Canis lupus familiaris: one gene and its partner. The protein of the gene in region 2 purifies or fractionates together with the protein of the main gene of each other region. This does not show direct contact. Links are inferred from orthologs where the notes say so. Each region holds a gene or a part of one and is shown on either strand. Other genes may lie near its edges.

Region 1 (4,284 bases), on a different chromosome or scaffold from region 2:
CCTTTGGCCCAGTATAGATGCATCCACCTGACAGGACGGGGTCACCTCAAGTGGCAGAGAGTTCCCAATCAGGCTGTCCTGCCGAGCAAGGCTGGAACCAAGGGCCTCCTTTCAAGATCCGAGTTGAGAAAGCCGTGTGGTGCCCAACAGAGAGGACAGAGCCACTGCAAGGGGTGCTGAGGGGCTGCTCCTCTTTTATTATCAACAGGAGGTTTCTCTAAAGGGAGTGTGATGCCCCTCCCCTGTGGGACCACTGTCCAACCTGTGCATCGTCCCTTCAAGTACCCTCTCAGAAGAAGAGCCCCCGCATCCGCCTGCCGATGCCTTGTCGGTCATAGAGGACGTTGAACTTGTTCACAAACTGGTTCATGGTGTTGCAGGTTTTGGTAATGGTGCCAAGGTAGGCCATGAGCCCCACGTCATTGCATTGCTGGAAGGAACAGAAAACCAGTTGCCCAGGGAATGTCTGAGTCCCGGGTCCTGCGTGCAGACATGATGTACAAACCCCACGTCCCCAGCCTGGGTTTTAGACTCACATCGTAAAAGTCTGTCTTGAACTTGTCTGTACTGAGCACAGGGAGGCAGTGACACAGAGCATAGGCCTCCCGCAGGATCTCATGGTTAAAGGGAACCTCTCCTAAAGGCACAGAAGGACTGCATTAATGTGGATGAGGTCACCCTCAGGAGTGAGAAAAAGTGGTAGGCGTGCCAGGGAGACGCCTGTCCTACCCGCTTCAGAGGCCTTGACATATTCCAAGATGAGCTTGACCCGGCTGTGCAGCATCTTAATGGCACTGTGTTGTGCTATCAGGTGTTCGGCCACTGGGGGGAGACAGGGAGAGGCCAAGGTTGAAAACGCACCTGGCCACGCTTTCCACCCCCCACTGCTGAGGAAACACCTCCAGTCTTCCTTACCTGTGGAGTTCTCGCCGCTGCCTGTGGCTGTCATTCGGGCCACGTGGTCGACGCCAATGCGTTCAGCTTCCTCTGTGGCCAGAGTGTAGGTCAGTTCCGCAAACAGCATCGTGGCCTACAGGGCACAAAAGCAGAGTCAGGAGCAGGAAAGGCCAAGGAGCAGGACCGCGGGGTTGAAAGGCAGGGCATTACCTCTCCATTGATTATATCGATGACAGACTCAAAAACACTGACGGGAAGCTGTAAAGCAACGGGAGACAGCTCTTACATCAAGTGCACCTGGGCTACCGTACTGGCTCTTCTGCAGATTTTCCCAATCTTCCCAAGGGCCCACTGAAGTAAGGCTAACCCCCACCTTATACATAGGGCAAAAAGCAGTTCTGAGATTAAATGATTAACCTAAAGTCACACAGCTGCTGAGCGGAGAATTCACCTCAAGTGAAGATTCAGCCCAACAGAGATGTAAAGCACAGCAGGGGAGGAGGGTAAGATTGTCATGCTTGTCCAGCACCGTGCCTAAGTGGGCATGGGGTCAGTATTACTCACATCTGTGTGCTTGGTCATAGGATTCAACTTAAGAAAGAGAGGGCTCTCGATGATCTCGCACACCTGGAAGGGAATGGGGATGTGGGTGTCAATGCCCATCTTTCCTCCCCTGCTCAAGCCCTGCCCCAGCATGCACCAGCATGCATGTGTACCTGCTTGTGGACGTGGATGTCAGAGGGGTCAGGCGGCCCCCCGGTGGTATACCAACCCAAAAACTCCAGCTCCTTGAACACCTGTTTGACTGCAGGGGAAAGAGCACAGGGTATCATTCTTTAAATCACCCTCCCTTCATTGGAAACTCCTGGTATATTTTTCATCAGCTTCTCCCCTCCCCGCTCAACTCCTGGCTCAGTTCTCAATAATTAGTCCCTTCTATCTTCTCTCATCTATTACTGTCTGGGGGGTGGGTACCTAAACTGTTCCTTTTCTGAGATCCTTTGTGATACTCTCCTCACACAAACACAGTTCTTGTCCCATTCTCCTATTTTTCCCCATCACTCTCCATCTTCCCCACTCTGCCTTTGTTTCTCACTCCCACTCCTCACCCCCGAGTCTATCCCCCTCTCACACTGCTCCTCCTTGGTGTAGTAATACTCCTTGTCAATGATAATCTTCTCCTCCACGGTGTGGGACAGCAGCTCAAAGGAGTTCATCACCTCGATATTTCTGCCCTCCTGCTTCCCGATCAGCGCCCCAATCACTGGGGGAGAGAGCGACACGGAAAACAGGAGGGTTAAGAATCCGGTCCCTGGGTCGAGGTCAGTGGGAACGCAATGCTGGAGACACGGTGACCTGGGGAGGGGGGACTGGCCTCAGGAAGGGCGGGGGCAAAGACCCCTACTTGGGGCAGGTGACCAAGGAGAGGAGGTTGGAGATTGACGCCCAGCACGCACCCTGCATAGGCCGCCCCTCCTGGGAGCGCATGCGAATCCAATGGTCTGAAATGTTGAGAATGACGAGGGGATGAAGAGCGACGGAGACGCTCCCCGTCACGCCGGAGGCCATCACGCTGGGGACTACTGAGGGTGGAGGAAAAGGAGGACGAGTGAGCGTCGGGGCCGCACGTTCTGCCCCGGAGCTGCGAGCGGGAGACGGCAGAGCCGGAGCCATACATCCCTCCCGCAAGTTAGTCCAGGGGGCGGGATCGCCGTCCCGACTGCTGACTCCTCCCGGGAGTCCAGGGGGGCCTTGTCGCTCCCCGGGGGGCGTCACCAGAGGCCGCCTCCGCGAGGCCCGTTACCTGCCGCATCCACCTCCATCCCGCTGCTCCCTCCAGTCCCGTTCGCCGCCGCCGCCATTTTCCCCGCGCCCGCCAGCCTCGGCCCCGCCCCCTCCCCGTCGGCTTCCGTAGGCCAGCGGCGCATGCTCAGTGGGCGCGGGGCCTCGGCGGGTGGGGCGGGCGGCCCCGGAGCGGGTGGACTTCGGAAGACCGGGTCCGCCACGCGCTTGCGGCGGTGACAGATCTGGGACAAATTACTTCACCCTGCGCGCTCCCAGCCTTACCGTCCTCGTCAGTAAAACTGGGATAAAACGGCCCAGTTCCTAAGACTGTTGCAGAATTAATGAAGAACCACGTTATTGCCCTCAGAACAAGATCCGCGCCCGGGCCATGGCGTGCAAGGCCCCGCAGGGTCAGGACCCTGCCTGCCACCCGGCCCTCGGTCCTCGTGCTTCAGCCGCGCCGGCTCCCCTGGCAGTTCCCTTCGTATGCCCCACGCCCACGTGCGGGCCTCTGCCGCGTCCAACCCGACAGCCAAGGACCTAAATAGGTATTTCACTGAGTGGATAATCTGAGGTGAAACCTGGTCGCGAATGGTTCACCGGCGTGTCCTTTCCTCCTTGCAAATACCGTATTACCTACATACTAGGAACGTGCCCAGCACTCCAGCCCTTCCCGGCCTCCCTCTATCCTCCATCTCCAGCAGCCTTTCAAAACTCGCTTGGGACAAACCCAGCCCACTCCGACCCCTCCCCACTCCTACGCCCAAGCACGTCGCTGTGCACTGCGTTTACTCCCCCTTGCTCCCCTACCCATTTGTCTAGCTGGTTCTTTCAGTGTATGCCTGTGCCACATCCAAAGTGAAAGCTCTCAGAAAGCAGGTGAAGACCTGTGCCTTGAGCCTGCAGAGCCCACTCCAGTGCCCGCAACCAGCAGGTACCAGGAAATGTGTTCCAGTTTCCTTCAGTTCCAGTGTTTTAGCAGCATCTTCAAATCTTTTTCTTTGTCCCTCTGTTTCTGTAGTCACATCGCCTTGTGCGATAAAACCCCTCCTTGCTTCTTTCTTATAAAGACACCTGGCATTATATACAGTGCCCACTGGGATAACCCAGGATAATCTCCCCATCTGAAGATCCTTAATCATAAATCCACGATAATCTCCCCATCCGAAGATTCATACTTCAATCAGATCTGCAAAATCTCTTTTTCCCTGTAAAGTAACATTCACAGGTTCCAAGGATTGGGACCTGGCTGTATTTGGGGGCCACTGTTCAGCCCGCCATAGCACACGCAGCCCACTGTGGGGGAGCTGGAGAGCAGCACCCTCAATCAAATGGTCATTGTCTTTATGATCCAGAATTATGTCAGTCCATGAAGAGAATCCTGGTGGCCGAAATAAAATTAAGTTGGAGTTTGCTAGGCTCCCTTTTGCCTGCAACCAGGATGGCCTGGGGTGGGTATGGGGTGGGGAGAGGGAGGACAGGGAGAAGTGTCATTCCAAGGAATGGTCAGGGCAAAATCTTTAATTTTCAGAACAAGTCTAGAAAGCCCTCCTTCCATCCTGATCAGTACCCTCTGGTCAAGACCAACCAGGAGGAGACAAA
Region 2 (3,364 bases):
ACAGATGGATCAGAGCTGCATATGAATCCCAACCAAGTTCCCTACTGACCATACCATGGGCTTGCTCAGGGTCATGCTGCCTGACCTGTGCACACTGCCATTTGCACACTTTTACTAAAGGCTGGCTGTGAGGGTAGGTGAGGTCCCGAATGTGAAGCACCAGGTGAGGCCTGGCATCAAAACCCGTAGGTTCTCTCTGGCTCTGGGCTACTTCTTCTCATAGACCAGACTGGTACCAAGGCCAGCCCCAGAACAAAGCTGATGTGGGTGTTCCAGGCTCCAATCTAAGACGTGCTTACTTCTTGCTATCTTGATTTCTACTTGCTGGAAGTTTCTGAGTTCAGTGAGGAAGCTGTTGCAGAGTTCAGTTAACAAATGATTCTGGTATTTCTCTTCATCTTGGGGGCATCAAAGGGGTGTTTTTTTCCCCACAGAGAAACATATCTGAAGGCTCTGTTAAAACTACTTTCTTGAAGTCAGGGGATAAAAGGCCTCAGATAGGAAAAAGAAAGAGTGAGACAGAGACAGACACTGAGCCTGGTTCCCACAGAGAGAATTTATTGAGGGAGCCAAAGCCTTTATTGAGAGGACGAAGGAGTCCTCCTTCAACATCCCTCCTTGATACTGCTGGCTGCCAACATGATGGAACAGTCTGGGAAGGGAAGGCCTGCCCTGTGTGGGGCCACTGGGAGCCTCTCACACCACAGCCTGTCCCACCCTGAAGACCCAGACAGAGCAGGAGAAGACATAATTCCCACCCCAGCAGGGTGCTGAGGATGCCTTCCCCAAAAAGGCTAGAGCTCTAGCCTTCAGGATCTCTGGAAGAATGGCCAGGACGCCTGGCCTTCTGATTGGCCAGTCTAATCCTCAATATGAAGGACAGGGCAATAGGCCCGGCTGACAGCTCAGTTCAGACCTGACCTCAGGCATCTACTCTAGGAGCTAACACTTAACATCCAAACATGATTAAAAACACTCAGGACAGTTCTCCTGCTGACAAAGGGCACACCCCAGATAATGGCAGTCCTGCTGGACCCTGGCCAGAGATAGAGACCCTAGCCAACTGGGTGTGAGCATGTGAGGAGTCCACTCCGCCCCTTGGGGAGGATCTTCCAGGGCTCAGCTAGGGCCCCCAAACCTGGGCTTGTGTTTCCCCCATCCAATGCCAGTGAGTCCCCAAAGATCTCCCGGAAGGGAGAAAGGCAGGAAGAGGCAGAGAGCTTGTAAGAGGCTCTCCGTGTACGGGGCTGGAGATTAGAATTACTGGGGGGAGGAAAAGGCTGTAGAGGGGTGGGACACCGGGGCAGGGGCACTGGGGGGTTCCTCAGATTCTGGCATGTCGTCCTGGAAGTACTCAGCCTGGCGGTACTGCCACAGACGCAGGTTCCCGTCCCACTGCAGAGCAGAGGTGACAAGAGTCAGGAGATGCTGCCCCGCCTAGGTCCAAGTCCCAGACATGCACTGGTCCCTGCCCCCCAAACCCTTGTAACCTCACCGAACTGCTGACAATCTTTTCCTCAAACGGATGCCAACTGACGTCACGCACACAGGCCTTGTGGTTGGTCAGCTTCTTCACGATGCGGCCGCTGAGGAGGTCATACACTGTCCAGGGAAGGCCGGAGTGGAGAGGGGCTGCCAGAGTACCTTCCAAGCACCCCTCATAGTTCCTCATCTGCACTACTTACCTATCTCTTAGGCAACTTCCCTGCTTTCATAGGGGAGCAAAGCCCACACCAGAGGGTGCTCTAATTCCTCAGTTTCTTTTCCCTACCTTGGGCTGAGAGTATGGTCCAGCAGAGCTTGGGTATCTCTCCCTGGCCCCTAGCTAAATGTCACAGGGTCTACACTAAGAAAACGCAACATGGTTCTAAAGCTCTTTACAGCAATTTTCCAAGAAACCCAGAAGACACAGAAGGCATAACCAAAGTGAACAATGGGCCATCTGCAGACATCTGAATTTGCTCTTCCCCATCTGGATGGAGGTGCATCATTCTCTCTTTCCCAGTGGGTCTCTATCCGAGTGCCTCCCTAAGTATGGCACTATCCTAGGCTCCTTATAAGCGGTGGGTGTGTCTGTGTGCCTTTCTTTTTTTTTTTTTTTTTTTTTTTTTTTTTTTTCTCTGTGTGCCTTTCTGTACGCTCTTCTGGCTTTAGGGGCTGCACATCCTTTACTTGGAACTGCTGTCTTTTTGTCTCTGATCCCCCCTCCCCCACCTTTCATATGTAATCTCTTTAAAAAACAGAATTGCATATATTTCTGGCAATCTTTTATATTTACTGATTAGAATTCTATGTTCCCTTTCTTAATTTAGAATGCTGATGAATATAAGGTTCTCTATTTCTCTGTTTTAAGGCTGACCTGCTCCAGGCTAAATTACATTTCACTTGTAGTCACCACTGGGCTTTTTACGGTGGTCACTGGTGGTTACAGGTGAAATGCCAGAGAAACATTCTTGCCTTTCCCAAGGCCCCCTGTCCTGACACAATCCTTACCAACAACTTTGCCAGTAGAGCAGCCGCTGTAGATAAACTGCTGGCCCGTACTATGGATGGGGGAGAATCGGCAGCGGATGAGGGTGTGCAGCACCCCATGGCCCCGGTAGGTCATCAAGGAGCTGTCCCCTGGGAGCTTCAGTTTCCGCCAGGCTGGGTAGGGATGCACGGAGAGCCCGGAGATTAGGGAGTCTGGATCTTCCCTCACCCTTAGTCCTCGGCAACAATCGATACTCACAGATGACTGCCTTTTCAATCCCCAACTGATGGCTCTTTCCCCACCTAATATTCCCCCAGGTGGCTCTGCTGGTTGTGAAAACACTGAAATACTTTTGTATTAGTTGGTTCTGAGTGATCTCCAGCCTCTTGCCCCAACTCTCCGCACAGTTGGGCAAAGAATTAATGTGTGGCGAAGGGGATGGGGTTTCTCCAGGCCATAGTTAAATCCACTGTGCCCCTGTTAGGTCTTACCAGGGGCTAAGTATTGGAACTTCCACCCCTGACTCTCCACTCTCCAGGTGTCAGCTTCTACCTTCCACACTCACCTTTTTTGGGCACCTGCTGCCAGCGGTAGTCCCAGTTTTGCTGTGTGGCAGCCTGCCGTGAGGCCTCCATTCCTTCCCGACTAGAAAAGCGTCGGATATCCCAGAGCTTGATGGTCTGGTCTTTGGAGTTGGAGATGAGATAGCGGGCATCACCCTGGGAATCCCCAGATGGATAACAAGGCATCAGAGCTTGCGAATACTGGTGGTTGTGTCTGTCTAGCTCTTCTCCAGGTAAAGGGTAAGAATGCCAGTCCTTTGACTTAGCTTGCCTCTTGCTTCATCCAGGCCAGCTCACTGCTGGTTTTCTACCACAGAACCCACCCCCT

What was found.
Region 1: the proteins of DCAF11 (region 2) and COPS6 purify together in Homo sapiens (affinity purification with mass spectrometry; 6 studies listed by BioGRID and IntAct, counting the BioPlex papers as one, with this or other methods). This does not show direct contact. The link is inferred for Canis lupus familiaris from reciprocal best matches to the Homo sapiens genes DCAF11 and COPS6.

What each region holds. Positions count from the first base shown.
Region 1 is NC_049227.1:9,446,784-9,451,067, forward strand, and holds COPS6 (COP9 signalosome complex subunit 6), read right to left. Parts: upstream 2,851-4,284; 5' UTR 2,826-2,850; coding exon 2,702-2,825; intron 2,481-2,701; coding exon 2,355-2,480; intron 2,162-2,354; coding exon 2,030-2,161; intron 1,703-2,029; coding exon 1,614-1,702; intron 1,525-1,613; coding exon 1,462-1,524; intron 1,156-1,461; coding exon 1,108-1,155; intron 1,031-1,107; coding exon 916-1,030; intron 823-915; coding exon 730-822; intron 638-729; coding exon 537-637; intron 431-536; coding exon 290-430; 3' UTR 172-289; downstream 1-171. UniProt on the Homo sapiens protein: Component of the COP9 signalosome complex (CSN), a complex involved in various cellular and developmental processes.
Region 2 is NC_049229.1:4,246,618-4,249,981, reverse strand, and holds the end of DCAF11 (DDB1- and CUL4-associated factor 11), read right to left. Parts: intron 3,193-3,364; coding exon 3,039-3,192; intron 2,649-3,038; exon of another isoform or gene 2,647-2,648; coding exon 2,494-2,646; intron 1,603-2,493; coding exon 1,496-1,602; intron 1,396-1,495; coding exon 1,261-1,395; 3' UTR 537-1,260; downstream 1-536. UniProt on the Homo sapiens protein: May function as a substrate receptor for CUL4-DDB1 E3 ubiquitin-protein ligase complex.